Alligator mississippiensis: one gene and its partners. The protein of the gene in region 2 purifies or fractionates together with the protein of the main gene of each other region. This does not show direct contact. Links are inferred from orthologs where the notes say so. Each region holds a gene or a part of one and is shown on either strand. Other genes may lie near its edges.

Evidence for each region.
Region 1: the proteins of SORBS3 (region 2) and DLG5 purify together in Homo sapiens (co-immunoprecipitation; 3 studies listed by BioGRID and IntAct, with this or other methods). This does not show direct contact. The link is inferred for Alligator mississippiensis from reciprocal best matches to the Homo sapiens genes SORBS3 and DLG5.
Region 3: the proteins of SORBS3 (region 2) and WASL purify together in Homo sapiens (co-immunoprecipitation; 3 studies listed by BioGRID and IntAct, with this or other methods). This does not show direct contact. The link is inferred for Alligator mississippiensis from reciprocal best matches to the Homo sapiens genes SORBS3 and WASL.

The regions. Positions count from the first base shown.
Region 1 is NC_081829.1:31,286,253-31,296,851, reverse strand, and holds the start of DLG5 (disks large homolog 5), read left to right. Parts: upstream 1-5,569; 5' UTR 5,570-6,206; coding exon 6,207-6,516; intron 6,517-10,599. UniProt on the Homo sapiens protein: Acts as a regulator of the Hippo signaling pathway.
Region 2 is NC_081830.1:21,755,729-21,766,229, reverse strand, and holds the start of SORBS3 (vinexin), read right to left. Parts: upstream 4,689-10,501; 5' UTR 4,603-4,688; intron 1-4,602. UniProt on the Homo sapiens protein: Vinexin alpha isoform promotes up-regulation of actin stress fiber formation. Vinexin beta isoform plays a role in cell spreading and enhances the activation of JNK/SAPK in response to EGF stimulation by using its third SH3 domain.
Region 3 is NC_081827.1:43,713,981-43,724,363, forward strand, and holds the start of WASL (actin nucleation-promoting factor WASL), read left to right. Parts: upstream 1-5,353; 5' UTR 5,354-5,610; coding exon 5,611-5,721; intron 5,722-10,383. UniProt on the Homo sapiens protein: Regulates actin polymerization by stimulating the actin-nucleating activity of the Arp2/3 complex. Involved in various processes, such as mitosis and cytokinesis, via its role in the regulation of actin polymerization.

The sequences.
Region 1 (10,599 bases), on a different chromosome or scaffold from region 2:
AAGGCAACACCAAACTCTTTCTGATAGGGGGGCTGGGCCACACTGCACTTCGGCTAGGCAGCAGCAGTAGTGGCATTGGGAGGGTTGGGGGTGCTACAGTGAATTTTTGGAAGCCTGCAGCCCCCCTCCCCTATAGTCCCATCCCAGCACCATAGCCTGGCTTAGCCCCCAACTGGGAAAGTCCAGCACAGCCCTGGGCCCATCCTGCAGTGGCAGGCAGCCTGGCCAGTATGCAGGTCCAGGGGGGCACATGCCCCCCATGCCCTCCCAGGGAGGCACTCATTGCTCCATTCTGCGCCCTGGCTGTGCAAGGTCTGCCCCTGCTTCAGCCCCGTTCCCTCCCACACAGCTGCTGCAACCGCCCACACTGTCCCGCGTTTGGGGAGGAGCATGCGGCCCCCCCACATCTGTGCGTAGCAGAGGTGGCTGCTGTTGCAGGCTGGGCTTTGTGCCCCGAGCACCACTGCAGCTGGCCTGGGAGTGGCTCGATGCCACATGTGTCCAGCCGCTAGGCTGAGCCTTGTCCCTTGCCCGCCTGGTGACTGGATGCATATGGCATCAGGCCACTCCCAAGCCAGCTGCAGCAGGGCTTGGGGTGCAAAGTCCATTCTGCAATGGCAGCTGCCTCCACTGCACACAATGGGAGGACATGTGCCCCCTGGGGCCTCCACCAGAGTGTGCATAGTCGTGGAAACCCCTCACCCTCTGTGCCCCTCGACGAGCTGCGTAGGCTCAATCCTCTCAACACCTGCCTGGCTCCGAGCCCCACTCACCTTACACCTGGTCCTGTCTCTGCTGCACTCTGTCCCTCACTGCAGGGGCCTCGATCTGGGCCCCACCCCTTCCCTCCCTCAAGGACTGACCTGCTGGGCTGGGGGGGGGCGTGATGCATGCATGCGCATGCTCACCCCCCAGCCTCAGATCAACTCAAAGAGACTCCGTGATTGACTGGTTGGTGACCACTGCTTTAGAGAGTAACCTCATTCACATTTACTTGAAAATGATCTTGTAAGCACATTCCTCTTATAGATGTCAGTCTTCTCTCCCTGTCACTATTGAAACCAACTGATCTGCCTGTTGCCATAGGAGGGGTAACATCTTTTAGGCAGGGTGTAAATGTTGACCTCCTATAGCAACCCTTGTAATTTAACCCTGGTTGATTTCTGCCTTTTGTATATGTGGTTCAAGAAGTTTTAACTAGTATAAATAACAGAATTTGGCTGTCAGATTTAAAGGGAAACAATGATGCACAATTCCTCATATCCATCTCTTGGATCTAATGAAAAGAAAAAGAAGCTGGTAGCGGTAAAAACATGTTAAACATGAATGCGTAGTCATAGGCTACATCTTGACCTGTTGAACATGTGTTAATGGACACACTAAAATGTCAAGTCTCCGAAGTCATAGTCCCAATCTATCCTTTAAAGCAATGACTTAATCAAAAGGTAACGGATCTTACAGTATGGGTGCCTCATATTATAGATCCTGACCTGATGATAATCATATATCTAAGGAATAAAAAAGCAAATATGTTAGGTTGGCATTTTTTGCAGTGCTGAAGTTAAGGTTGTTTTTGTTTTTATACTGACATATGCATGCATACATATTCATATATTAGGGTGAAATTACATATTGTACTTAGACCATACTAAATGTGCAAAATGTTAAGTGGTGTTACAATTAAAATATGCTATGAGCAGCTGCACATTAAGGGTTAATACCATTTCTTGCCTGCAGAGCTCTGACATGCTGCTAGAGGGCTAGTGAGAAGAAGCATGATCTCTATCCCTGCTCTGGGTGAAGAGGTAAGCGGGGTGCATCATGGATTGCTAGAGGACTGCAGACTGCTCATTTTATCACTGTGGAGCAGACCAAAGTTACTCGAACGCAGGCTTGTCCAACATATGGCCCGTGGGCCACCATGCGGCCCGCCAAGCCATTTTCTGTGGCCCGCGGTGCTGCGACAGGACATGAAAGTAAACGCTGTTTACTTTTGTTCCCACCCCTTGTCCCTCCGCCAGCCCCTCAGCAGCTTCCTGATGGCTGCTGAAGGGCTAGGGAAGGGACAAGGTTTCCACATGCACCGTGTCAGCTTGATGTTGCTGACACGGTGTGGCTCCTCCCCTCCCCTCCCCCCTCATTTTACGGTGTCCCTTCCTCACCCCACCCCTCCCTTCCTCATTTGCATGCCGGCCCCACCCTGCACCGGTCCCTGCCGGCTGCATGGACTGGAGGGGGCGTGGATGCCAGCAGGGGGCGTGGATGCCAGCTCGAAGGGATGCTGTGGCCAGGCCTGTGGGAGATGCTGCTGCTGTTGCTGTGGCTGTCGGGGCAGGAAGCTGGCGCCGCTCCCGCATCCCCCCACGCCCACAGACATCATGCTGGGGGTGTTGAGTCGCGGATCCCGGAGAGGGAGGGACCCCTGCTGCTTGGGCTGCCCCAGGGAGAGAGGGAGCAGGGGGGTGTCCCTGCATATCCTGCATCCCCCTGTAGAGTCCCCACATGTCCCCCTGGCTGTTGAGCCCAGGTGTGCAGGTGCGGAAGCATCCTTGAGGCTGCCCAGGTGGCAGGGAGGACATGGCGGGGTAAGGTGGCACCCCTTGACCCCTGTGCCCCCAGGCCGCGGCTGGACTGGACAGGCTGCGCGAGCGCCCGTTCCTGCCGGCCCACTGGGTGATAAAAAGTTCATGATCCAGCCCCACATTCAAAAAGGTTGGACACCCCTGCTCTAACGTGAGCTAGGTAGCATGACCCAGAATTTGGTTTCTGTATTGTATGCTTATATGGTTATTTATTTTCCATAGTTTTTATTGTTGCTTTCTTTCAAATAATGTATGCAGTTAATGGCATTAGAAACAGTGTTTTAATGTCAAGTGTTAGCCAGCAACGTTTTTTTTCTTAGAACTGAATCAAGATGCTGCAGTGTAAACAAGGAAGTGAACAAACCCATCTTTGTGCATTGCCATTCCATTAATACAAAAAGTTTACTAAGCATGAAAACTAAATCAGTAGAAGGAAGAACTTTTTCTTCTCAAAGCTCTAAGTACGGGCTCAAAACAATGGAGCCAACACGAATGGAAACTACCAGTATTTAAAAAACATTGTGGGTGTCCCTTTAAATCTTGCAAGATTATGTTGTGACTTTTGGTGACTTTTTTTGTCTAGATATAAATCTTTCATTTCTTTTCTGGGCTAAAAAACTCACTTCAGAACTTGGATTTTCCAAAATGTAGTGCTTTTCCTAGGATAGCTAAAGAGCAACTGCTTCCAGCTGTACTTCCATGAGTCTGTCTATTGTCAGAAGCTGAACAGAATCAGGCTTTACTTAAGTACGTGGATGGGAGACAGCCAAATAACGGCCTTGCTACAAAAATGGTGGGAGTAACAAACAGCAGGATTTTCCCTGTGCCATTACTAGTGTTTTTACACAGTGTCAGAGGCCCTTACCTGTAGCAGGTGTGGTATTTTAGATAAAATGTAAATCCTGTAATTATTTGTGGTAATTAAAGGTGACGTCCATGAGGTGCTTGCAAAGTAAATCGCTGCTCAATGTAATAATTAATATCAGCATTTTACCCTAATTTATGAACAATATTCTCTCAATAGTTATTTCTTACTTTCTTTGTATAACTATTGTGCCCTGTTGCTGATTAACCACTGCTGATTCCCCTGAGGAAGCTGAATTTTATTGATAAGTGAAAGGATCCTTAAATTACCAGTAACAATGCCAAGATGAGTGGCAACTGCAGCTGCTACTCACTTAACATCATAGTTATGTCCTTGAAAAATGTGACTTTAAGTGAAACCATGTCATGTGAATCCAGTTATGTCACAATAGTTACCTACTAGCAGGTAGCGGACAAACAACGTTATAACTGAACACTGTGCAACTTTGAAGATGGTCTCTAATAGATGAGCAATGTAATAACGAAACAAGGTTAACGGGGACGATGTTAAGTGAGGCGAACCTGTATGTAAAGTTATTCATTGGAGTTGGCCAAAAGTTATCTGCCAGTGTAGCAAACGGTTAATTGTTGAAACATTCCCAAAGAAACAGAACTGTTTCAATTAAGAAATTACAATAGTGAAAAAAAATTGACAAACACTTTGATCACCCTGGAATAGAATGTCTTCAAACAACTTTCGTTTTGAAATGTATTTGTACCGTATGAATTTACAATAAATCCAAAACAACACAGGCTAGCTAATATGTTGATTATTTTGATCAAAACAAAACAACTTGGTTGGACCAGTTTTCTTCTGGAAATTGTTTGGAAGGGAGACTTCACAATTCCTTGTACCCTCCCAATTTAGAAACAAAATAAACTTTGAAATCCCAAACTGTCCTGCAAAACGAACATTTGTTTCCCTCACCCCTGCTTTTAATGCTGTCACAAGGCAGGCCAGGGATTTAGACAGTCTTTCCAGTAGATGGCACTAGTATATCCAGTTTAATATTTATTGTGTAAGCACGTGAATCAGATTTGCTCTGTCATTCATTTGCTTCCTCAGTGTATTCAGTGAGTACAGGATGTAGAAGTACAATGTCTGTCTTTACATTTTTATATTGAAGACGTTTCTCATCTTTGTATCATGTAGACATTCTATTTCAGTTGCACCTGCTTTTTGCTTTGGTATACTCACTCACTCCAGTAGTTTTCAGGGATGGGGCTAACTTCTCTTCCTGCCTCCTCCCCCCAAAAAAGTAAATGATTTATTTTCAGCAAACAAAACAAGGGTGATACTGTATAAGGGATGCATACATCTCACATCACCTACTGTGCAGAAATCACAACTGGGCATCTAGTAGAGGCCAGGGATCGTTAGATAGGGTTAGATCCAATTCAAAGCTCTACCTCTAGCATCCGGTTCTGCCCGTCAGAGCCAGGTTCACAGCTCCGAGGTGTTCCTCTATCTTTAGTAAAAGACAACAGGTTTATAGGAGCTGAACCGAGTAACAGGATGCTGGCCTGGATGGGGCATGGGTAGGAGCCAGTATAGCACTTGTGTTTCATAAGCTCTGAACTCGTAACGAAGTCTCCTTTACTTCTGGAAGCAGTGGGCGGAGAAGTGGCCACAGTTCTGTAAGATCCCAGAGTTCAGAGCATGGGTTTGCTCTTGGCCACCGAAGGAGAGGAAGTAACACACTAGAAGCCCCCTTCCCACATCCCCGCGGGGGCAGAGCTTTCTGCCTAGGGCCGCCATCCCTACGTGAGCAACCCCCACCCGCTCCTCCTTGCTCCCCTACTTCAGCGCCAGGAGCCAGCCCTGCGCGGGTGCGTGCTGCCGACGGGCTCCTGGAGGTCGGGGGGCCTCGGGCGGTTCCGCCCTGCGGGGCATGGGGGCTCAGGCTTCAATGCCCCTTTCCCCGCCGGGACCGGGGCACGACGGCTCGGCTCGGCACAGCACAGCACAGCACAGCAGGTCTCCTTTTCCCCACCCGGCGCGGGGAGGCGGCAGCAGCCGCGCTCCTCCCTCCCCCGCCCATGACGGACAGGCGGGGGGCGGCAGCGGCTGCGGGGGCTGAGGCGGCAGTCCGGGGCGGGGGGCGCGGGAGGGCCCGGGCCGCAGGCAGCGCGAGGCTGGGCGGGGCGTCTCTCTGCCTGCCTCCCTCCCTCTTTGTGCCCGCGCCGGGGAGAGGAGCGGCGGGGCCGGGGGTGCTTTTCCTCCGTCGCCGGGCGGCCAGGGGCATGAGTGGGAGCTGGGGGCTGCGCGGCCCGGGCCGCGCCTGGGCGCGGTGCAAGCAACATGGCTGCGCGCGGCTGGCGCTAGGAGGAGGCGCTCGGGGCTGAAGCCTCCCCCGGCCGCTGCGGCCTGGAGCGGGGCGCGGCGAGGCCACAAGTTGCCGGAGCGGCTGGGGAGGGCGGGAGGCGGCGCTGCGCGGGCCGGGCCGGGCCGGGCCGGGCGAGGGGGACCAGCCGCCTCCGCTGCCAGGTCCGCGCGGGGGGAGGCGCCGCGCGGCCGGCGCGTGTCTGCCGGCAGGACAGGGCGGGAAGCGGGGCCCGGCCCGGCCCGGCTCGGCTCGGGCGGCATGCTGCGGGGCTGCGGGCGGCCGGGAGGGGAGGAGACAAGCCGCCTGAGCCGCTGCTCGTGCGGAGCGGCCCCGTGCCCAGCCGTGGCGGCGCTGGGGTAGGCGGTGGAGAGTAACCGCCCCCGGCCTGCGCGTCCCGGCGGGAGGGAGGGAGGGAGGGCGGCGCGGCGCGGCCATGGAGCCCAAGCACAAGGAGCTGCTCGCGCAGTGCCGGCCCGCGTTGGCTCAGGCCATGAGCGAGGTGGACGCGGTGGTGGAGCTGCTGCAGGCGGCCGGCGCCCTCGGCCCCCGCGACCTGCTGGAGCTGGAGGAAGCCGGGGCGGGAGCAGCCCCCGGCAAGGCCGAGCTGCTCCTCAAGCTGCTGCTCGCCAAGGAGCGGGACCACTTCCAGGACCTGCGCGTGGCCCTGGAGAAGACGCAGCCCCACCTGCTCTCCATCCTCTACCTGAATGGGGCGGCGGGCGCACCGGCCGGCGAGGCGGCGGGTGAGTGGCGCTGGGCCTGGAGGAGTCCGCAGCCGCGGCGGGTCGGGGCTCGGGGGGGGAAGCAGCCGGGCTGCCCTGCCCTGCCCTGCCCTGCCCTGCCCGCTGCCGCGCAGAGAAGGCCTTGGTGTGCTGGGAGGGTGTCAGGGAGGCTGCAGCCGTGGCCCGCCAGCTTGTATGGAGCAGACCACTCCGGCTCTGGAAGCAGCTGTGCAGGTGTCTCCTTGCCGGCTTATTTTCTTCACCCCATTTCTTTTCAGTTTGTTTCCATTCACATATCCCCCTCCTCCTTGCTGCCAGCACCTGGGCTTTGCCTCCGTTTAGTTGCGCACTGCCTGCCTGCGTGCGGTCACTACTGCTGTGCCAGGGTCCCGAAACCCAGCCTCAAGGGAAGACTACCTGTTTCCACAGTCTTGTTCTGCCTGCTCTGTCTTGACCCGAAACTCCACTGAAGCTGCTGCTGCTAAACCAGTTAAAGTTTTTTGACTGCTGATGGCAGCTAGGAAATGGTTGTTCCTGTTGCAGGTTGCTTGTACTGGTTTAGCCTGGCTTGGCAAAACTGGAGATGCCTGCACCCAGTGTTTGAGGAAAGTGGTAAACGTGGGACCTAGTTGCTCCATTTGGAGCAGAGATTCATTTGGAACAGTCCTGTCATAACTCCTAGTTGTGAGGAAAGGAGAGGAGCAACTAGTGTTAACCTTCAGAGGGAGAGAAGAATCCCACACAGATTTCCTAGGGAGGGTCCTTTTTCTTTGAAACCCAGCTACCATATCTTATAATGAATATCAAGTTTGGCAAGAAGGGGGAAAAATATGGCAGATGTGGATGTAGACCAGGCAGGAAACTATGCATGGGAGGCTTCCTGGTTTATGTAACCCAGATCATTTTCTTAGGACAATAATGAGACAAACTAAATTACAACTTTTAATCCTGCCTGTTCCACCTGGAAAATGCTTATCATATACACTGTCCTACTTGACATTCTCTTTTTATTTTTAATGATGATGTTAGCTGTGTGTGTTGGTGGTAATAATAATAATAATGGATACATACAGTACAAAAAACTTTACATTGTATGGACTCTTCTAAGGCCCCTACAGCATTGGGGGGGAGCATAAACTTGAGCAACAGATCTCAACACTTCTATTATTACGTAGTCTGACATCAGTAGGAGTTGAGGGTACTTGGTTCTTTGCATAGGGGGGCTCATAACTTTCTGTGCAATGAGAATAATGGTCAGCATATTCTTGGCTGAAAACTCCCTTATATACTGATAATGTTGGACTATTAGAATTCCACAAACCTAAAAAAAAAAAAAAAAAAGAGAGAAAAGTATCAGGTGTGACTGCAGGAAAAAATGGGATTAGATGAATCTATTCTTTGACAGTGCCGTGTTCCTAAATTGAAAGTAAGGTAAAATGTCACAGTTCTAAAATTGGTAGAGGTATTTGTAATTATTTGATAAAAAGTCACACTCTCCTTTCTGCAGTGCAGTCATCCTTCGTATAGGGGGGAATGTTTCCCTGACATGAATTATGTTCAGAAGGAGATTTGTGATGCTTTTTAGACACCTTTTTCTTTCTTTTAGTTGTGTTTGAGAGAGAGTTTTCATACTATTGAAATATACTCTGACATTTTCTCAAAGGAATGCAGAAAAGATCATTACTAATGACCCTAATTGGTCATTGTTTGTGTGGCTTTGCATCTAGAAGGACAGTTGTACACAATTTACCTCTACCCCCCCACCCCCCACTCCGGCCCCCGTGTACCCTGGTTAAGACTAGTGAGACTATTCATGTGTATAAAGCTAGCCATTTATCAACAATTTGCAGGATATCTACCTGTTCTGAAAACATTCTGGAGAAGGAATTAATATTTAGCCACAGCTGGTCTTAAATGATAACTTATATTTTAAAATGATCTGTTATTTAATATGGGCTCAGTCTTGTCTCTTTCAGTCTACTTCCTGCAGTTAACTTTTATTTAGTTAGTATTTCCATTCATGGTGGACAATGAAAATAAGATTACATCAGCTAAACTTTCTAGTTTTTATGTACAGGAGTAAATACCAAGGAGGAATGGTTTAGCCTTTTTGTTTAAAGGATATATTATCAAATTGTTAGAAATAACTATTGTAAACAGATCTTCTATTATATTTTGTAAAATAGTTGTATTTTTTAAAAGCTAGACTAGTTAGGCCTACATATTTTAAATATCTTTTTAAGACATATCTTTCAATTATTTTTTACGGTTATTACTTAGATTATGATTGATAATCATTCCCATCCTACATTCTTTTTAAGTTATAAGCTGTTTGTCAGAGAGAGCTATGTGAAGTTATGAATCTTGAATGCTTGCTAGACATTCAGTTTGTATGCAGCAAGCTGCATATACTTATAACTGAATAGTTTTTTCTTGTCTGTTTTTCCTCTGAGTAATTTAAGCTATAGGTGCATGTCTCTTCTATCTACTTGGGATATCTTCATGAAAGAATTAATCTTTTGGTATATCAGTGTATGATTAATTTGCATTTCTTCAACTTTTTTTAGTTAAGGAATAATTTTAAGAAGTATCAGATTTTTTTTCTTCTCATTTGAAATTTAGATTCCCTGTTGGTTGTAATGATGCGGTGTAAATTGATGAAAATGAGACTGTTATTGCTGTTTGGGTGATGTATAGGTGATGCCATCTTATAAATATGTCCCCCCACAACACAAAAGGCAGTTGACAGCTGTTTTTATTGCTAAAGTGGAAGATTTGGGTTCTAGAAGTTGTTAAAGGATTTTTAAAATAGTTAATGATATTTGCATTTCAAGGAGCTTGCTTTTCTTTTAGCATTTTTCTTATGCGACTGTTAAGTCTTAAAGTTTACTGCAAATGTCAAATATGTAGTGAATTCAAATCTGCTATTGTTATACTTTAAAACCCCCCATGCTGATTTCCCCCCAGCCTTCCCACCCCTGCTTATTTGGTTTCTAATTTTAGAGCATTGTGCACGGCAGCATTAGTAAACAGGCTGCAAAAACTGACTTTGTATGATTTTTGCTTAGTCAGAAAGTAATTTCCTGTCAGGATTATTTACTTTATGCTTGGTCATTGTAGAGAGAGCATTTAGTTCTTACTGGATTTTCCTTTACAGATTCATTTAAGTCATTAAATCAAGGAAGCCTAGTATTAGCACATACTTTAAACAATTTTTAATTACTTGTAAACAACATTTATTAAGTTTGGTGTACTCCTCAAAGGCTAAATGGGACAGAGAGGCCAGTGTTGTGATTGGAGCATACGTATCTTTGCTAAACAAGCTCTATTTCAGAGAAACACTTGGGCACCACACAGGAGCACAGAAGCTGCTCCAACACACTGGAATTGTAGTGAATCAGAGCAGACTCAGTTTAATCGGGTATGCTAGAGCATGGCAGTTACTGTGATCCAGCAGCCTCCTGTGTCTCCTGTATCAGGGTTCCTGCACTTAAAAATGGTGGCAGGGGTGCTTAAACTAAAGCTCATTGAACAGGCTTTAGTTCAAGTGCCCCCACCACTGTTTTTAAGTGTGAGGATGCTTATACATGAGATGCGGTGGCGCTTCAATTAAATTGCCACCCCTCCCTCCCTCCCCACCCTGGAACATGTGTAAAAGTGCCCACAATGTCTTTAAAAATCAGGCTGAATGTGACTTGTAGCATATTTAAGCTACACTGCACATCTTGTGAGTCCACTTCTTTTTACTTCCCCCTGTATATTCCTATTATCCAGTTCTGAGAATGGTAAGTTATACTAGTAATTATATCTGACTTAACAAGTTACTTCAGTCATGTGTGTTCTCTCCTACTTTATACAGTTTTCTCTCTTTTAATGAGGTGTTAAATGGCTTTTAAGGACCACTTGCATGTTTGTCTTGCTGAATCAAAGCCTGAATATACAGGTTTGGAGCTGATGTTACACCAGTGTTAATGTTGTAAAATTAAAAAAATTATCCTGGGCATTAGACAGCTATGTGAATTTTATTAGTAAACAATACAAGAAAGTTTGTCTAGGTAAAACTAATTAAAAAGGGATAACTTCTGAAGTACTGTGACTTCAAGT
Region 2 (10,501 bases):
TGCTTGGCAGCAGGGGGTCAGCATCTTGCTGCGTCAGGCCCACTGGTCCCTCTGTTGGGCAAAGGCAGCTCTAGAAACAGCCATGCAAGTCTTGCCACAGCCTGCTTGAGCCCTGCCCTGTAGCCGGTAGTCCCCAGGGCCCGCTGTGCTGGGCCTGGGCATGGCACCGGGCTGAGACGCACCCCTCTGCCCCCGCAACTGCTCACATTGGAGCCTGGCTTTGTACCCTTCATCCTGGGGACCTGCCTGCCACCCACACATGATCCACCCCCACCTTACTCCTGCATCTCTTCTTGCGTCCCTACTGCCTCTGAAGGGGTATGTAGCAGGGGCCAGCTAGAGCAAAGACCCTGCCTCATCGCATCGCCCATCTCCCTGTTCACAAGTGTCTTGAACATCTGCGGGTAGCACATTGCCAGCCAGGGAGCTGAGCCAGCATCCTGCAGAGCAGAGGTTCAGGAAGAGCCTGGCCAGTCAGGGCAGAGAGTGAGAAGAGAAGCTGGGTATTAAGTGGTGCTGGGACTGGAGGTTGCTCGCTTGAGCGGAGAGGGGAATATTTCCACCCTGCTCTGGATGCGTGGGGATTTACAGCTAGGAAGCAAGGACTCAGCCCTGGTGCTGGTGGGGGAAGAGCTGTGCAGACCTATTACACAGCTCCAGCCAGGAAGGGATGAGATTGCGTGATGGAAACAGCTTGGCCGGGCCAGCCGGGGCTGTTATCTCACAGTTTTCCTTTAGTTTGTTCCAGCCGATCCTGGCTTCCACCCCTGGGCGGTGGCAGCTGACTGTCCAGACAACAAGCAGCGTGGGGCAGTGAGGCAGGCCCTCGTACCAGTCCTGTGCAGTGCATCGCCAGCTCTTTGGGTCTGATTTCCTGCCTGTCCATGCCCTGCCCAGCTCTGTGTCCAACCACGCTGACCTGCCTTCAACTTTGCTCCCTGGCTTTGCACCTGTGTCCACTGCCCAAGGCCTGTCCTTTCTCCCTACAACACACCCAGTTGGGCACTGACCTGCACTGAGGCTGACAGCATGCTTGGTTCCCCTATATATACCAGGATAATGCAAGTGGTCGCTCCTCCAGCTGGACCTACTGTGGGCACCTCTGGCCACTTCCTTCTTGAGCAGTGTCCAGAGCTCCTCCGTCACCACAACCACCGCCCTTCCTGCTGCTGAAGGAAATGGGGTAACGCCGGGCCTTCCTCAGCTGCTTTCTCCCTGCCCCGAGGCTCACTCTGCCTAGAGCCACATTAAGATGAGCAGTACAGGGTTTCCAGCAGCACTGCACTAGCATGGATGCTCCCAGGGCGGCTGCAGGCCTGCTCCACCCCTGGGACCATCAGCCAGGCCTGAAAACCAGCTGAACATGGTCATGCAACACCTGCCTTGGACACACAGGGGAGAGCCAGCACAGTCCAGGTGGGGGACTGCTCTCTGGTCCTTGGCACCACTGAGCAGGGGAACCAGCTTGGAAGGGAAGCTGGGGCAGAGGAGGGATTTCCAGGAGGAAAGATTTGCACAGCACAGCCTGCAGTGCCATGCAGCCCTGGCAGGTGCCCTAACTGGCCTCTCCTTCCAGTGACATCCCTACCCCAGGGAAGGCTCCTGGGGCAGGGGAAGAGAAGGGAAGGGCCACCCCATGCATCCTCCGGCCATCCCATATCTGCTCCCAAATGGCTTCCATGCAACAGTGCAGCATCCTAGAGAGCTCCCAGGTGTCCTCAGGGAGCAGGTTGTGTGGACTTCAGCAGGACCCGTGTCCCTACGGGAGCACACGCACGACGCACTCTGACTCTGGGACATGGAGAACCTCCCCGAGCTTTTCTTCACAAGAGCAGCGAGCTCAGGTTACTGCCCTCACCCAGTCCGGGCCTGCTCGAGTGAGAGCAGCCATTGTGCGGTCCAACACATGAGCCACCCGCTCTGCTGCTGGCATGTCCTGTGGTGCCAGGTCCCCCCTCCCCTCCCCTGGAATCCAGGGCAGGGCCATGCTCCAGCCCTTCGGAGATGCCAGGATAATAAAAGTGGCATTACCATAAGCTGGGCTGTTACAGGATCTGGCACCACAAGCGTGCCAGAGTCGCCTCACATGTGATGTCCGTGGAAGGGGTGGCCAGGCAGCAGCACTACCCTCTAACTAGGGGGTTGGTAGTGAGTCTGGAGCACCTACAAGCATCCCCGGTGGCTGCAAGCGAGGCAGCACAGGTACCACGAACACCTGAGATGTGGCCAAGACACGGCTGAGTGCCTGCCACCGGGAACCATGCTGCTATGACTTGACCTGTGCTAGTTAGGTAAAACTTGGCTCTGGTGCTGCAGCTCACCTCTGAGGGCAGTGCAGAGTGAAGGGCTGGAGCGGCATGGTGCCGGAGGGGCCCCCCAACCCAGCATTGCTGGAACAGCAGCACTCAGGGCCTTGCACAAAGGGAGGAACCAGCCTGACGGCCCCGAGAGCTGGGCTGAGCGACGTGGATGCCTTTAAGGCACTAGGGCTGCTCCAGCCAAGCAGGCTAAGGCTGGGTGAAGGATTCACAGCCCTGTGACTCAGACGTGCCCAGCAGCCACGCCACATTGCAGGGCGAGGGAATGCCTCAGGGAGCAGAGTTCACTACGGGGCTTCCTGGTACTCACAAAGCCAAGGAAGTCCCTGGGAAAGCCAGAGCCTGCCACAGAAGAGGGCCTGGCTGACTTCCACCAGCCCTCTGTACCATAAGACCTGCATGCTTTGAACCCACGGTTTCTTTCCTTTGACTGCCTGCCTCCCTGCCACCCACACCAGCAAGGGACAAGCTGAATCTGGTTGTAGAAAGGCTCAGATTCCTTGCCTTCTGCCACAAAATCACCCCACCTGCCACCAACCCCCAGAAGCAGGCCACCAGCCTCTGCCTATAATGCTGCCACTGGACCCACATGAGGCTGCTATTGGCACAAGGCAAAACCCGCTTGGCCTAAGAAAACCTTCAGGGTTGATACAGCATTGGTGTGATGCTGCAGAAACCTTTCATGAGTGTGATGCTGCAGAAACCCCATGACAGTGGTCATGCCTTAGGCGCTGGCAGTGGTGTGTGCATTTGGTTAAGCAAATTGTCTTTGCCTGGAGAAGAGGGGCCAGGGCACCTCCTGCTGGATTCCTCACACCATGGCAATGTGCAGAAACATTTCCGTGGGAGAGCAGGGGCAGGGGAAGAAGCAAGCCAAGAAAACCAACAGCAACTATAGATATGCCAAAAGAATGACACACCGGAGACAGTGTGTTCCCATGCAGGAGGTAGCATTTCTAGCACAGGACCATGGCCATTTGTAATGGGAAAGGAGCTGGCACAGCCCTGAGGTCTTGCCCTCGCACATCCCCTGGTGCAACCTGCAGTAAACTGTTCAGTTATAGTCCAAAAGGCTGAAAGCCATGTGTGGTGCCAGACCACTCCCTTCCCCAGCACACACAGAGACAGCTTCCAGGGGGTACACCCCCTGCCAGGCCACACACAGGTACCTTGAGGGCAGGGTATTGATAGGGGGGGTCTTCCCTGGAGGGTCAGGGCCTTCACTCCTCACAGGTCAGCAACCAGTTAATCGAAGGCATTCCTCTCCAAGGTTTGCTAAGTGACCATTGCTGCCTGCTGAACGGTGCAGACAAGCTGGCTCCTCTCTTGCAGTGGCCCATGTCAACTCTGGCCAGGGATGGTGTGAGCATAGAGCCATGGCACAGCAGGTCCTGGTCTGGGAGTAGGACCCCCTCACTGAAGCACTACTGAACAAACCAGCATCACACTACCACCACCTTGAGAAGTGCTGACAAGCAGTACAGAGCAGATGTGACCCCCTGAACAGAGCAAGTCTGCCGTTCTCGGTTCAAGATCAACCACCGCCTGCACTAGTGGTAACACAGAGCAGGGCAACGGTCAACAAGAACTGGCTGTGTCCCTGCGGCACACTCTGCTTGGGGAATGTATCTCATGCCATTCACTGCATTGTAGCCACCCAACCCAAAAGGGGCCGCTAGCTTGCGCAGTATGCCCATGGAGGTGTTCAACCCGGAGCGTGAAAGGTCAGAGCCCAGCTGATGTGGTTAAGGTATGTCAGCTTCCACACCTGATGACACACGAGGCTCAGATGTGGCTGCATCACGTAGAAATGGGCTTCATCTCCCAGCCTGAGGAACCAGGGCCTCCAGCACAGTCCAAAGCAGGACTCCAACTCACATCCCTGGAGCCAGAGCAAGGTACCATGCAGGAGGTCTCAATGCAAGGGCTGCAAACAAGGGGCTGGTGGCTGTGGCCACCCCATCTTGTGGCAGGGCATCTCAGGTTGCCAGCTAGTTGAGAAAGGTTGTAAGAGCCAAGGAAGCTCCATCCCAGACCTCACTGAGAACAGCCATGGTCTGGAGATCCAGAAGAACCTTCCCCTCCGAGCCAGCTGCCGTCAATCTGCTCCCCGTGCAGCAAACATCACCACAGCGAGGTAGCCGCTTGCAGGCGGCCTGCCCAGTGCGAGGGCTGGATTCCCACAGTGGCTGGCTGTGGCGCAGCCTTGCTGCACTGGTGAGGTGGCTCCAACCCCACAGGCAATCCCCACCACACTTGCAACATATGCGCGGACCCAGCTCACCTCCCCAGCTCCTGCTTGCTTGGTGGCCTCTGCCTTCCAGCTCTTTTTGTGGGCGTACAGCCTCTCGCTCTGCCCGTGCCAGCCGATCCAAGTGCGTCCTTTGGCTGCTGATAAATATTTAACACGCAGGCAATGACAGAATTCACAAAGGTCGAGTGTTTCGTGTTTGCTCGGCAGTGGGCGCCAGGCCTGCTAGCATCGATTAGATAGCACTCCTACACAGCAGCAAGTCTGTGCTTGGAGTGCCACAGCCCATCTGCAACAGCAGCAGGCCCTTCTGGAGCAGGCTGTCAGCCCAGGGCTCAGAGCGCTTCAAAGCTTCAGCCAGCAGAAGGGAGGCACAAAGGGGCTGCGACTTCCCCCACGTGGCAGAGTTTGGAATAGAAGCCAGGAGTCCCAGCACCCAGCAGGGACAGCTGCAGAGAGGTGCCCTGGCTTGAGCATAGTCTAAGAGCTTCCTAGCAGGTCCCTGCGGGTAACAGGCTTCCAGGCTGGGGGAGGCAGTGCTACTTCCTATTACATGAATTGCTACAGTGCCTAGGAGCCCCAGCCTGCTGCTTCTGCTCTGGCCGCCCTCTGTGGCGGCCAGGAAGCAGGCAGCACGGCTGAGCATGGGGCCTTTGGTCCATGTCTCACCTCATAAAAAAGCCATGACACCTAGGAATAGACAGCTGCAGCAGTTGGGCTGGCTCCCCTGGGTAAGGCATCCCCTGCAAGGTGCTGCTTTCTGAACCCCACTCACCTGTAGGGAAGGAGGGCTCGCTTCAGTATTTTGAGGGACTTGGCATTATTTATTGGCATGAAGGCTGCAGGGGGTGGCACTGATCCTGACTGCAAGGGCTGGACAACAGGTAACATAGGGGAGTGGTGGGGGCTTAATGCAGGCGGGAGACTGCATCAACAGCCAAAGAAAAGCTGGTGAATGGTAGCCAGGCCGAGCTATCAAGCTCTCTGCAGCAGGGGCCCATGCTCCATGTTCAGCTTATCTCTACCCAGCGTCTCAAGTCTGCTCACAATTCTGCTCTGTGTTAGCAGGTGCCCGGCTCCGAGGCATTTCATATCCCACCTTTCTTGGCACCGCCAAGGGGGCATACACTTGAAGGCAAAGGGCAGATGAATGGCCTGTGCGGCTGCTGTCAGCAAGTGGCTTTGCAGATGGTCCCAGCACTGAGCAGTGTGCTCATGGTAGGTCTGAGTCAAGGTAGTTCCTCTGTGGGCTCTGCCTTCACCACTGCAACAAACCCCATTGTGCTTACCTCGTGCTGTTACATTGTCTTCCTGTTGCAGAGCGCAGCAGAGCAGCAGCACAAGTACGCACACCCCTAGCTGTGCCCTGGCAAACACCTTTGGTTCCAGGACCTCCCTGCACTTTGACAGCACTGATTAATGAAGCCGCACGGTCCCATTTTAGGGACCGGGAAAACTGAGGCCCACTGTGTTTACTCATCAAGTTTAAACCAGAGCAGGCAATAGCGAACCCAGGTGACCTGACATCCTGGGTCTGCCGTTATGCCTGCCTCCTCTCCGACTGTGGCACATACAGTGGAGAGGAGCCAGAATAGGGAGCAGGCCTGACTCTAGGCACCAGAAGGAGTTGGGAGGCAGGAGGGGAAGAAAAATCCCCCTGTAACAGGAGCAGGAGTTCAGCCAGTGTAATTCCCTGGGTGGGTTCTCCCTAGCATTCAGCATTCCCCCCCCTTCATGACACCTGGCCTACGCCCTTCTCTTGTGAGGAGTGCTCAGCTGATTTTTATGCAGCAGGGTCAACCTGTGCTCTCCCGTGGGCAAACGCAGGCCAGTTACCTCCCGCTGCTCCCCATTTAATCAGGGCCTGGAAAGATACTAACTTTCCTCTGCCAGGGACGCAGGGCTGTGGGCATGGGACAGGGTGCTGTGTTAACCTGGGGACCACACAACAAGTAGAGCTCCTGCCAGTGCTGAGAACGGGACACGGGGATTCAGGGCCAAAACATCACGCCTTGACTGGCTTCTGAGGAAACACACAACAGGAAAGCTGCCAGTGCTCCGATGCGCCGTGGGGCATCAGACTTCAAGGAAAGACCCCGGAGCCGAACGACCGTGTCATTTAATTTTTAACTTTTTTTTTCTTAAAGATGACTTCCCATTTACAGTAAGACAGTTCTAACAAATTCATTCCTTGTTCACAAAAAAGAAGAGAAATTATATTAAATAATTTCTGCCAATAAATAACATTTGTCACCATTTTTCTTTAAACATAACTAAAAAAAAAAAAAAAGCAAGAAAAAAAAGGAGGCAGTCTCCAGGCAACGGGCATAGGATCCTTCAGCGGAGAACCTCACATCACCATCGCACCCAACACGCATTCCTAGGGGCTCTGCGGTCCTTGTGGCGTGAGGCAGGCCAGCCTCCAAGCGGCTCTGTTCAGAGAATCTAGCTAGGTAAGACAGATCTGAGTGTTGCAGCGTGCTGAGAAGGGCCCTCCCCGTGGGTGTGCGGGATGTTATCGCCATCAAAGGTTCTCCCTATACAAGGTGAACGCACCTTTGTTCCCAAAGCTTAAACAAAAAACCCATTGCTGACTCCCTCCTTGTTACATGCACCTTGCTATAACATGCAAAAAACCCCAGGCTGCTTGAGACAGCCATCCGGAGAAAGGAGTGAGTGCGAGCGCGCTGCCCCTACATGGCCAGAGTCGCATGGACTGACTGTGCTCCAGGGCTTAGGGCCTGCTTGGCTTTTTTTCCCCCCCTTTTCTTTTTTTCTCCCTATTTTGGGTTTTTTGTTGGGGTTTTTTGTTTTGTTTTGTTTTTGTTTTTTTGCAAAGTCTCCTTTGTCGAGCTTCTGCAGCTAGATGGCCCAGGAGGAATAGAGGAAGGGGGGCACTAGGTATTCACAATGCTTGGTACTGGGATGAGGGGAGCAAGGAAGCCCCTCCTGTTCTTACGCAGGCCTCTGAAGGGCAAGATCCCTCTTCCCCGCACAACAAATACTGGGGTGGTGGCCTAGCGCCATCCTGGGAACCAGTTCGGTTTTTTTTGGAGCTGTCCAGGCGTTAAGGCCTGTGCGGTGGGGTTCTCTGCCTCCCTCAGGACACACTGGATGGAGGTAGAGGGCACCGCGAGGTCTAAATGCTTAATACTGACAGTACAATGGAGACTCTTTGCACTTGGGAGCAGCAGCTCTCGCCTACTGCTCTGACCAAAAGTGGAGTCTCAACCTGCCCTGGTTCACCCTCTCGTGGGGGCTCTGTCATCACCTGTCCATACAGTCCTTGCCACTCGCTGTATAACAGCACTGTGCTGCGCAGCAGCAGCAGCTAGCTAAACCCCAGCAGAGGGGAAGCCAGCACAGAGAGGGTTACAGGGATGAACATTAGTCAATCAAGGGGGTAATTAACACCCACTCTCCCCAATCTGTGCTGCCGCTCACCCCCTCACCCCATTAGGAACACTGCATGCTGTGCTGAAGGAACACAGACCCTGGCACTGGCGTTCCCATGGAAACTGGAGACTGTGCTTTGCCTGACAGCATGCTAGCTGCATGTGCTTGTGTGGGATACAGAATACATTCCCAGCAGCTCTCAGATGGATACTAGAGAGGAGGGGAAAGGCCCAATAGCTCCTGCATGGGGAAGCCATGAGTCATCCACAGTGCTCCCGACGCCCACAGCCCACTGGGCTGGCGATTACTTTCCTCCCGTCTGTGACTAATGCGAGAGCAGGACTCCTGATCCCAGCTCAGCCCCACCGACTGACAGCAATGGGATGGCTCGGGACTCCTGTTGGAGGAGCATCCGCTAATTAACAGGCTGGGAGAGACCCCCTCTGGGTCCGTGTGCTGTCAAGTCACAAGCCAATCGGAATTGAGGAGGGCTCGTGGATCGGTGTCCCCTGATCGGTTGCATGGATAATTTCGGCAGGCGCACGGCTCCGGTAACTATGGTTTCACAGCTCCAAGGTTTGCAAACACCACTTAGCAATGTTATGATGAGCCTCTTGCTTTGAAATAGCAGTTAATCTTTTCCCTGGGGAGAAGAAAGGCCTAAAAGGCCCACAGCAGGAGCTGGCAGGGCCAAAAAGTGTGATCTGCTTGAAAAAAATCCATCTGCAGAGCCTCTGGCACAGGAGAGGTTTTGCGAAGAAATGACTTTGTCTTGTGAAAAGCCAGTACCAGAAGCCCAGAGTGCATGAGCAGAACCACAGTCAGAGCTGGCGCGCCATTAACTGAGGCAGAGTGAAGGGGGACAGAAACCACCGTTGGCGGTAAGTTCCCAAGTGGCGATGAACAATGAGGTTAACAAATATCTTGGCAGTGTCTTCTTCTTCTCCCCAGTTTTAAGGGAGGGATCCCAGCTGCCTCAGCTCCCCCCTTCACTCCTGACCCCGAATGGGGTAGAGGCCACGTTGTGGGGCCCGGCACAGGGCTCACAGCCCAGAGTTGCTGAGCAGAGGCCGTCCAGCCCTGGCCAGCACCTCTGTGCCATCAGCCATCTTGGAAAGAAAGATGCAGTGCTTTAGCCCACTCATGCTTTGGGACAGTTGCCATACAAAACAGGAGGTGCACAGACAGGAGCGATCAAGCCCTTGCCCCCCATGGGGTAGGAAACAGACAAGCCTTCTCAAAACACTCACATTTGCACAAAGCAGGGGGCGTGTGGAAAAAAAAATGGAGGCAAGTGACTTCAAGTGTCCATCACTAAAACCCTAGTCTGCTTACACAGGCAGTTACCTAAAGAACCACTAAGGAGTCACCTTTGTGACGTGGAAGTAGGAAAGAGGTCAGAAGAGGTTTCTGCAAGGTTGATGCCTTCCCTGGGGGCTAGAAGACAAGCGGGTGGCCACAGCATGAAGGGAAGCCAGCAACATCAAGGGGCAGAAAACGGGCTGGCAAACATCCCTCTCTAGAAGGCTGAGTCTAAGGCTGCACACCTGCTACACTTGTTCAGTGGTGTTAGCATGTGGTTTAAACCGGAAGGGCAGTGGAAGGCGGCAAAGTGTGCTGCTTTGATGAAGCGTGACAGCGGCAGAAGAGGATCCAGCTACAGTGACAGGTCAGCCAAAGGCAGGGGAAGGGACCTTTGCACTCCTGAAAAATAAGAGAGCTTCCTGGGATTTTTATGGGTCTGTTCTGACACCTGTTTCAGTCCGAGTCTAAGTAAACTAACCCAGCGGGGTACTCTGCTTGCTGAGATTCCAGCTTTGCAGCATTTCACGTTTGAGAGGCCAATCTCAGGAAATTCTCAGCTGTGCGCTGGTAACACACACTGAGCACCCTGCAATGAGATGCCTTTTTGTCCAACTTGCCGAATGATCCACTCCACTAAGTGCCTTCAAAACCATTTTCCCACATCCACTGGGTTCCCCTACTCACTTACCCCCTCTACAATGTCTCTCTCCCCATTGCAACCCCAGGGCACAGATGCTTCTGAAAACACAGCATTTCACAAGACCCTCTCTGCCATGACTGCTCACTTACAGGCCTGATTTCCGGTGGCACCAGTGGACACTGATCCTTCCCCCATGATAGCTATGTCACTGGCAGGATACCGTGGTGCCCGCCCTTCCTGTGGCCAGATAAGCTCCTCTTTTCTGAAAGTCACTGCTGTCCCCTGGACAGCTCAGCTAACCACTGTAGAGCAGCAGTCTCACTTCTACTGGGTGCTTGGTACTCAAATGCATTATGCTTGGTCTACACACCTTCTGGTTGCTCTACTCTTGTGGCAAACCCAGCAGCAAATGCTGAGGGCCAGCAATTCCCTCACACCCCATCTTTACACAGGGAGATCTGGCACAGTAAGTTTACTGCTTTCTCCCAGCCTCAGCCCCGAAAGCAGGCACATGAAGATGGCCTGGGAGACTACAACGAATTCCCTCTCCACATGCAAAGACAAATGTCCAAAGCCTTCAGCAAAAAACTT
Region 3 (10,383 bases), on a different chromosome or scaffold from region 2:
GCAGTGGCAGCAGAAGGGGTCCCCCATCCCTGTGCCTGTTCCCAGGCTAATGGTCTGTTGGGGTGGAGAGAAAGGACCAGGTAGGGAGGGGGAATCCAGACACTGCCACTGTCCTGGGCTGAGTCTGGGCTGACTGTGGCAGGCAGGAGTAGCCCTGGAGCAGGGACAGGCAATTATTTCTGCTGGAGGGCCACTTCATGAGTTTTGGTGAGCTGATGAGGGCCATAGGTGTAGCTCTGCCCCTTGACAGTTGTCCCGCTCCCTGGTCACCATCTTGAGACTGGAAATCCTGCCCCTAACCCCTGACCTTTGCCACCAGACATCCCTCCCCTTGCCTCAAGAAGTATTCCTTTTGGGAAGGGAGGGTTATCATCTTGAAACCAGAAAAAACCTATATCATACACTAAAAGTCAAACACTTACTATAACATATTTTAATTTTATTACAAAAAATATTTTTGTCATGATTTGTGTTTGTGTATTGTATATAGAGGAGATTGCATAATAAAAATGAACTCTTACTCTTGTATATTGTTTGGGGGGTGGTGGAGTGTGGGAGGTATGTTTGGGAGCTGTGAGGGGGTGTGGCTGTGTGTGTGGGCAATAGGGTATGTTGGGTCTGTGTCTATATATGTGGAGGAGTTGTGGGAGCAGGGTGTGGGTATGCAGCATTTGTGGGGTGTGAGGGAGGGTGGGCGTGTAGGGACCTCCACATACTCCCCCAAGGCACACAGCCTCTGCCACCAGTGGCAGCAGCAGCAGACAGTGGGCACTCGGGGCACTCAGGGCCTACAGAGGCGCTGCTGCCCAGCGGTGTGTGGCTCCAGCCATCATTGCACGTGGTGGCGAGGAGCGCAGCCAGAGCAACCTGCCTCTCTTACTTGGGGCTCTGTGTGACGCACGTGCAGCTCTGCACCACTGGGAGAAGTCCTGAGCAATGGAGCCACACACCATGTGTGTACCTGGGAAACAAGGGGTGGGGCTCCCCTCCACTTCCAGCAGAGTCCTAGGACCTGCACAACAAGGGCACAGAAGGCAGTCACAGCTCCATTGTGTGAGGCTTCCCCTGGTGGCACGTGAGTGCTGGGAGCTGTACATGTGCCACACGGAGCCCCACATGATAGAGGTAGGCCAGCGTGCCTGCACTCCTCACCACCATGTGCAGCAATGGCTGGAGCTGCCCACAGCTGGGCAGTAGTGCCTGCGTGGGCCACAAGCACTTGCTGTGCACCATGCGGGGAGTGTGTGGAGGGTCCCTACAACCCCCACACACCCACACCATGCCCAATCAAAATAGACTAACAAAAACAAAAAGAGGATTTGTGGGGAGGAATATATTGAAAGGAATGAATGAATGAATATAATAACAAAATAAAAAGGTATAGAAAGAAAAAGGTATTGATGAATCCCACTTGCTAGGTTAGCAAGTAGGAAATGACTGATAGCCGTTTTTGTCTAACACTGCTGAGCTGCTTTAAGACACAGCTCAGTAACTGACCCCAAGGCAGGAAGCAGGCCAGTTCAAACAATGCTGCTTTTTATGCTGTTTTTCCATCCCTCCCCCAGAGCACTGGAATTGGAAGGGACCTCAGGGAAGGATCAAAGTCAGTGATCAGCTACACAGTCAATATCAGAGCAGTCCTTCCCTCCTCTTCTCCCTCCCTCTCCTTACTTTCTGTTTTCCCTGTTTTTTTCAGCTTCAAAACTCAAAACATTTCAAAACTTTTGAAATGTTTTGACTGCCTTCGTTTCGTGTTGAGGCTTTTTTGAAGTCTTTCATTTTGTTTCAATTTCGCTGTTTTGAGCTTGACAGGAGTCGAAACAGTGTTGAAATGAAACAGCCAGTGAAATTGTGCACAGCCTTACAGTAACCTAATAACACTGCACAGTAGAGTGTTGGTCAAAAACTATGCTAATACACTACTATTAAAGTTTCCACATGGATATTATCTTTCATTTTGATCATTTAAGTGGACTAATAGAAAAGGATTAATAGCAAGTATTCACATATACAGTTTTTCTTTAAAGATAAATCTTCTGACAAGGAAATGGATAATGAAAAGACAATTTATTAAATCTGATGTTTATCATATTAGCCTCCAAAAATGATTAAATGTGGTCATAGTGATATGTTTGCATGCCACTTTTAATATTATTCAGTGTCTGGGTCCTATGTGACCATCGATTTTATGAGCAAATACAATAAAAGAATGTGTACTGGCCTCTGGCTACTATACCACTCTATCCAGGCAGAGCACAGACAACCTACAGATGCTTCCTCAGCCTGACAAAGGGTGTTTGTACCTGAAAGCTTACTAAGAAGAACTTTTCCAACCATTTGAGTTGATCTAATAAAAGGTATCGGACTTCTGCCAAAGAACCTTGTCTATAATAACGGAATACATTTGGATGAGTTTGAGGACAGCTGTCAGACCTTCAAAAGGACTGGAAGAGTTGTAGTAATTGTTAGTGGTGGCCTATCTATCCTAAAATGTAAGAGAACCTGTGATAAATCCAGGGCAGAGCTCAAGAGAAATTGGCAGGGGAGGGAGGTGAAACTTTCAGGAAAACGGTCACTCCAATTACTTTTTGCAGAGCCAATCAGAAGTCTCATAACCTCTTGGACAGTATCCAAATAATTCTGGTTGGGAGAAATTCACCTGCCTGGGTGACTGTAGTGAGAATAGCCATTCTTTGTTGGTTTTGTCCAAGATAAAAATCCATTTTGCAGTGGTAACCTAGTCCTACAGCCAGTACCATCATCAAGGCTATCGTACATGTCCTTTTCACTCCTATTTCTAGGCTGCAGCAAACAGAAGCAACTACTGCACAGATAATGTAATAATCCAGATAAATGATCTTTTTTTCTACTAAAACAGCAAGCAAGATTCTTTGAGTATGTGTCCCATTAACAACAGGGATGGAATTTTGGAAAATGAAGGTTCACAGCTATGGCTGCTGGCTGACAGAAGTCCGAGGAGAAAAGTAATGGAGATGCCCCAGGGCTCCTTTGGGAAGTATATGGAAATATGCAGGGAGTGAGAAAGAATCAGTGGATTGCAGAGGAACAGGTGAGGTCAGTCAAAATGGGCTAGCATGAAAGAAGGTGCCAGGTTTCAATGGTCAGAGGTTTGTTCAGTTTCCAGCCAAGCCGTACAAGTTCTAGCCAACAGCAAAGCCAGGTGAATGAATTATCTACTGTAGATTTGGCTCCAAAATAATGCAATATTTGTAAGATGATAAAAAGCTACAGTAGTTTGTAAAGTGTTTCCATGTGTGTTATCTTTTTTGTATATATTCAATCAATTAGGTGGCTGCCAATATTTTAACAAGGGGCTTCCACTAAAAGGTTTCTCCTAGAACTGTGTCTCAAGGGGGCATATACTTACATAGAAGAGGGATTAGGCATTGGAGTATTTACTATTATTGTGTAATTATTTGTAAAACTAAGGCTTAAACTGGGTTTTTAACAGTTTTTACCACACACACAAGATCTGCACATGGAGGACTCCTTTATACCCTGATTTTTACCTTCCTGTCATTCGACGCTCAGGACCCTCCATATATTCTCTCATATCCCCAGACATTCTAAGGCAGGGGATCCCAACGTTTATGTGCCCAAAGGCACATTCAAATTTAAAAGAAAAAGCAGTGGGTGCCAATATGAATATTAAGGTATTTAGATCAGTAGATAGTAAAGTATTTAGATCAATCTGATCAATCCTGTGTAGGCACCTGAATAAATCTTGGGGGCCACCCTGGCGTATGCAGGCACCGTGTTGGGAACCAGTGCTCTAAGAGATGTGTGAGTAAAGGGATGGATGTTCTTCACTGACCTTACTGTTACAAACTCACTGACAAAAGATGCACATATATGTATGTTTTTTATGGTGCCTAGGCACCAATTTTGGCTGGGATTTCCAGGAAATTCTGTAGCACAAATAATAAATAATAGGTAGATACTAAAACAGCTAGTTTTGATAGAAAATACAAAAGCCCTAACAACTCTGAGTGAGGGAGAGTTAGAAATGGCAGAATTGATAAGTCAGGCAACTGCAGCCCATTTTTAATAAAAATGTAAATGATCACAGGAAGGGTCAACTTAATGAGACAGAGCGAAACCCATCTTCCCTTTAAAATGTCAAGAGAATTTTAGTAATGTGATGTTATCAACACCCTACTTTATCTTTGTATGAGCGGACATAAATGTTTCCTCTGAGCAGCTAAGGGTCAGATCAGATTATCTGAAGTGACTGATGTGCCTGTGCATGTAGTCCTGAAGGATGTTATGTTACCTTAAGACTCCATCCCAGTTAGGCAGCCCGGCACTGCTATCCCATCACAAGAAAAGAGAGAACACCTAGCCAGCGAAATGTACCGTTATGATTTTGTGTGCGCGCTTTGATGACGTCTCTTGGCTGGCCCCAGAGAGCGTAATGGGTCTACGATTACCACCTTGCCTACCATTCATCTTCCCACCCTCGCTCTCCACATACACGATGTATTCCACAGATCTAAACACTTCTCCATAGTAAAGTGTGTATCCAGTTTCCATTAAAAATCCTGCCTCCTCCCTTTATCCAGTCTATAAATCCTGACTTGGAAAATTAAGATTCAGTAATGTGAGGCATGGATTTCTGGGGGGGAGGGGAAGGGGGAGGTTGATCTCTTTTACCGGACCAAGTGTATGGCTGGAATAAGCTTCCCACTTGACTGGATGAGGAACGCCTTATATTCAAAAGCTTGTCTAACTTTATTCCCGTCATGCAGTTGGCCCAATACAAGAGTTCACCCGTCCAAAAAAATAAAAAAATAATCTATGCCTCTCATATAATCCCTAGACCATCAGAGCTACCACATCCCTCCAGCACTGTCATTAAACAGTGTATCAAATAACCCTGGAGAGGAGAAGGTTTCTGCAAAGGAAGGGGTGAAGCAGTTTGAGGGTTGCGGGTCTGGAGAGGAGGCTTTTGTAAAGGAAGGAGTGAAGCGGTTTGGGGGTTACGGGTCCGGAGGGCAGGCGGTTTCCACAACGGAACAAGTACCAGCTCAGGGGTCCCCGCTCTGCAGAGGTTTGCACAACGCAACAAGCGGGTGGTTCGGGGTCCCGGTCCCGGTCCCCTCCCCTTGTCTCACGACCCTCTGCGCTCAAGACAAGACAGGCCAGGGACCCCTCAACACAGGACACCCCGAGAGCTGGCTCGGCCGCAGGGCTGTAAGGGCGCGGGGATGGCCCGGCCCGGCCCAGCCCGGCGGCGACGGCAGGCGGGGCCGGGGCGGGAGCGGCGGGTGCCTCCGCGCATGGTGACGGTGACGGCGGCGCAGCTCCCGGCCTCCCCCCGCCGCCGCCGCCGTGTGGTCCCGCCCGCCCCCGCTGCCATGTTGGATTGTGCGGCCGCCGCCGGAGCCGGGCGCCGGCTGGGAGTTTAGCGCTAGCCGCAGCGGGAAGGACTGAGGGCGGGGAGCGATCGGCCGCCGGCGGCAGCGCCGCGCCCCGCCCCGGCCTCGGCCTCGGCCTGGGCCCCGGCTGCGCCACGATGCGGCTGCCCTGAGGCGGCGGGGAGCGGACGCGGCGGAGCAGCAGCGCCCGGCCCCGGCCCCGGCCCCGGCCATGAGCAGCGCGCAGCAGCCGCAGCAGCGGCGGGTCAGCAACGTGGGCTCCATGCTGCTCACGCCGCAGGAGAACGACAGCCTCTTCGCCTGCCTCGGCAAGAAATGCGTGGTAAGCCCCGGCCCGAGGGGGGGTGGGGACCGGCGGCTCCGGCCCAGGCCCAGCTCCTCTCCTCTCCTCTCCCCTCCCCTCCCCGCGGCCTGGGCGCCCGGCCCGGAATGAATGGGCCGGGCAGCTCCGCAGGCCCCTGTGCGGGCGCTGCCTGGGCCGGCGGGCTCGCAGGGTGGGCGCGTCTGCGGAGCCTGGGAGCCGGCAGATGCTGGGCCCTGCTGGTGCCGCGGGTCTGCTCAGCCCTGCTTGTTTTAGCCGAGCTCCTTGTCTGTGCCCCCAGCCTGCACATCCCCAAACACACTCACATACATGTACATCTCCCCCAGCATGCGCACGCGCGTATGCACATCCCCCCCCCACCATGCACACCCCGGCACACACACTTACATGTGTGTGTATCCCCCCCAACACAACACACGCGTGCACGCGTGCCCCCAATACACACACACCCCTCTGTGAAATGTCCAGCTTGCCCAGGGCTTCCCTGAGCGAGGGGCTCCTGGGGATACAGGGAGCAATAGAGCCATTGCAACACCCAGTGGAAAAGTTGAATCACTTCACAAAGTTGAAGAAGTGGGAGCCAAGGACACCTGCTCTGCCACACCTTGGGTTGGGGATGGGCCGAGCTCCTCTCGGGGCCAAGCCTGTTCCAGGTTTCGCTCGTCTTTTCTTGACCTGAGTTTCATGTCCACCAGGACAATTGATTTGTGCTGGTTGATGCTGAAAGCTTCCTGCTGCCCTTGTCCCTGCTGGAAACATGGATACAGTGAAAACAATGCTTAAAAGTTTTTAACAAGCTTGGCCTGAAGTAGGACAATGGATTTCTGGTTTCCTAAGTGGCATCTCGTACTGTAATATCAGAGAGTGAGCTGCCTTGGGCTTTCAGAAAGGGGGTGGGGGAAAGATGGCTCTTTGCGTCTTTGCCAGCCAGACCTTAGATCTATGGAAAGCTTCATAGCGCTTGAATTTTTTGAAAGCTCCTTGGAATCAGCCCCCATCAATATTGGTTAAAAGCCTTTCTTTTAAGAAGGCTGCAGTGAAGTGCATTGATCTGGTGGTGTGTTTCCTGTGTCAGGTGCCCAGAACATCGATAATAGGCATCATATTTTTTTTATAATATTGTATGTGCATTTTGCTAACAGTGGTGGCATGAATTACTTAAATTGTAACTATTACCTGTAAGTATCATGTTATGATAAGAAGTTGTCCTGTTTACTTAGTCATCTGACGTGACATCTCTGACCAAACTAATTATTTTAGGTTGTAAGGGAAGTATGTGATATTTGCTATCAGGAAGATTATATGACATCATTCAAAGCAGTTATTGAGATGTTTAAAAAAATACAAGGCTGTAAAAAATGAATGGGAGGAGAGAAGAACTTTTATCTTAAAATTTTAAAAAGGTTGGCTTAGTTATTCAAACGGTTTCAACTTGAAATACAATTAACTGTGCCTATGCATATTTAACTAAGAATTTTTAAAATAAGATTTAATCCAGCCAATGAATGAATAAAGAGCTGTCCAAATAGTGGATGCGGACCACAAGGAGTTAATCTTTGGTCCTCATGTGCCCTTGACTGCTGTTCCCTTCATCATTCTGGCTACTGCAGGCAGGGTCTCAGGGCTTCCTCCCCTGCCACCCCTACTACTGCTTGGCTTTCACTTCCTGGCCATGGAGCAGGGCAGGGAGGTACAGACTGCAGTACTGCAGTGGGGGAGCTCAGACCAGGAGTTGGGGGGCAGGGGTTGGGGAGTAGGAGATGAGACACTTGCTCATGCATGCATGGAGTAGAGTGGGGGGCAGGGGTCCTGTCTACATGGTGCCAGGGTAGATGAGGTAGGGCCCTGGCCCCTGCGGTGGGTAGTCCCCACCCACTGTGTAGTTGGACAGCGCTGAATTAATGTACTCATTATTATTTTACAAAACATTTTTTTTTAAAGCATATTGTTTTGTTTGGGTTTTTTTTAATTTCAGTTCTTCATAATGCTTTCTCTCCCCTTGTCCTACTATACCTCAAAACACAGGTTAATAAAACGAAACTTCTGAGGTTAGTACCACTCGTGTTTTACTGAAATGTAAATGGTCTTTTAAGATATGAGCACAAACAGTAGCTTTTTTGCATTGACATGGTGATAGTGGCCTTAAGAACATTGGATTAATTCCAGGTTTATTTGATGATGTATATTTGTGGCTCTAAATCTTTTTTCTTTGTTTTTTTTCTTCTAATTGGAATCGAACATGCTGACCACAACATACTCCAACCTAAAATTAGAGTCATATCAATTATATAGGATGGGGACTGTGTCACTAGTCTGCCTATCGAGATTTCTAGACTCAAGTCTCCAAACATCTCAGAAATGCTAATTGGGATTATTAGACCATTCAGTAATCCATAACAGTCATTCTTAACGCAGCCTTTCCATGCATCATCCTCATAAATTGCCTTTATGTCCATCCCTGAGAGAGGACCCATAAAGGCTAAGGTACTGGTGGGAGTTCTGACATTTAAGGCTTAACTGTAGGCACAAAGTACTTAAAAATGTATGCAAAGCTGATGAGAGCTTTATTGACTGTAATGTTAATATTCCTGACTCTTGGTAATAATACTGTGTATGTTTTCAATAGTAGGTAGTCATGGTTTCAGGAAAGTAAAATATTTCTTATTATATTAACTTCATACAAGTTTCTATCATTTGGATTTACACTGGGTTGACTATAACTTGTGTTGGGATTCAGGTCAAGGTTTCAAGGGACAAAAGTTACTGTAGGCTGAGTTTTGACTGTTTAGCTTACTGGCTGTACTCTATAGAGTTTTAGGCTTTTACCTGTTACTTAGACTGGTGTTTGCATAGCAAGTAAATCAGATTAGGAGGTACTGGGTATATTATTAACGTGGTATATCAAACTAATAAACACATTTTATTTTTCTAATCAGCTTAGTTCTTTTGAGGATGGTATGGTGTTATGTGGTGGATAGACATTGATAAGACATTGAGGCTTCAATTTGGAGGTTTCTGTGGGCTCTAGGTGCCTTCGGTAGGTAAAATGTGCCCTTTGCTGACATCTGAAATCAAAAAGGGATGCTTTTGCCTTCTAGTTTAGACTGTTGCATATAATGTTCTTTTAATGGAGTTACCCTTTAAGGTTATTTGGGTGTTTCAGCTGTTACAGAATGTTGTTGCCTGCTTTCTTTTTAAGAAGAAAGTGCAGTATCATGTGCAAGACAGCTTTAATGGCTTTTTCTTTGCTTCTAGAGTAAATTCAGGGCACAAAAACAGATTTGGTTTGGTCTCTGCTGTTAATACAACTTTCTTTTTGATCCTGCTTATGTGCCACAATAATTTTATGATCAAATTGAGATCTTTTTTCAGGGTTCTTATTAACATTATTGCAATAACTACATTCATGTTCCTGTTAAAAAATACACATAGATTTTCATAGACATTAGGGCTGGAAGGGACCTCGAAGATCAAATCCAGCCCCCTGCCCCAGGGGCAGGAAGTCAGCTAGGGTCAAAGGATACCAGCAAGATAATCATCCAAACACTTCTTGAATGAGTCCAGAGTAGGTGCCTGTACCACTTCTGGAGGGAGTCTATTCCAGGTCTTGGGGGCTCGGACCGTAAAGAAATTTTCTCTTATGTCCAGCCTAAAATGGTCTTGTAGGAGTTTATGACCTTTGGTCCTTGTTTTTCCTTGGGGCGCTCTGTTGAACACACATTCTCCCAGGTCCTGATGTATACCCCTTATGTACTTATAAGCACCTACCAGGTCCCCCCAAGCCTGTGCTTTTCCAGACTGAAGAGTCCCATGGCTCTCAGCCTCTCTTCATAAGGCCTGTTCTCTTGCCCTCTGATCATGTGCATGGCTCTCCTCTGGATTCTCTCACATGACCAGCTATGTAACTTCAATATGTATTTATCACTTAGTCCAGGGGTCAGCAATGTTTTTCAGCAGTGGGCCAGAATGACCCAGAGGTCATATCTGAGGTGGGATGGCATTAGGACCTTGCAGTTCCCTTCACTTCACCCTGCTGCCTGATGGAAGAATACAGAATTGCCATCTAGCTGGAGGCAGCATGGACATGGGCTCTCCCTCTTGATCCTCTCCACCAAAACCCTTACTGCCTGGTTGCAGCACGGTGCAGACAGAGCGCCGCCCCATCCACCCTTACCCGCTGCCAAAATCTTGGTTCCACAAGACAGATCTAGAGGCTCTGTGGGCTTTAGGTTGTCAACCCCAAGTTAGTTTCTTACTAAAATTTCCACTTGCAGCTTATTTTTGTTCATTAGGGGGTTTTTTCCTTCCATTTCTGAGTAAGCTACTATTATAGATTCATAGATTCATTATGTTCTTTATTTGCATATTATATCTGAATGCTCTGATGAATTCCTATTCGGGACTTTTGGTATACATTCCATTTACTGAGTAAAGCATATCCACAGTTGGGATTGATAGAAAAAGATAGTGGAGATTCTAAGTCATGAGAAGGAGAGACTTTTTGGGGAGACTGGCCATAAACAGTGTTCTTAAAATTTAGTGCACTTTCTGTAAATGGTGTCCAAGTTTCACAGAAAATAGAAACAAGTTTTATAGTTTAGAAGGGGCCTGAGCACTGAATCCTTTTTGTGCTATCCTATGGATACAGTTCTTGAGGCATTC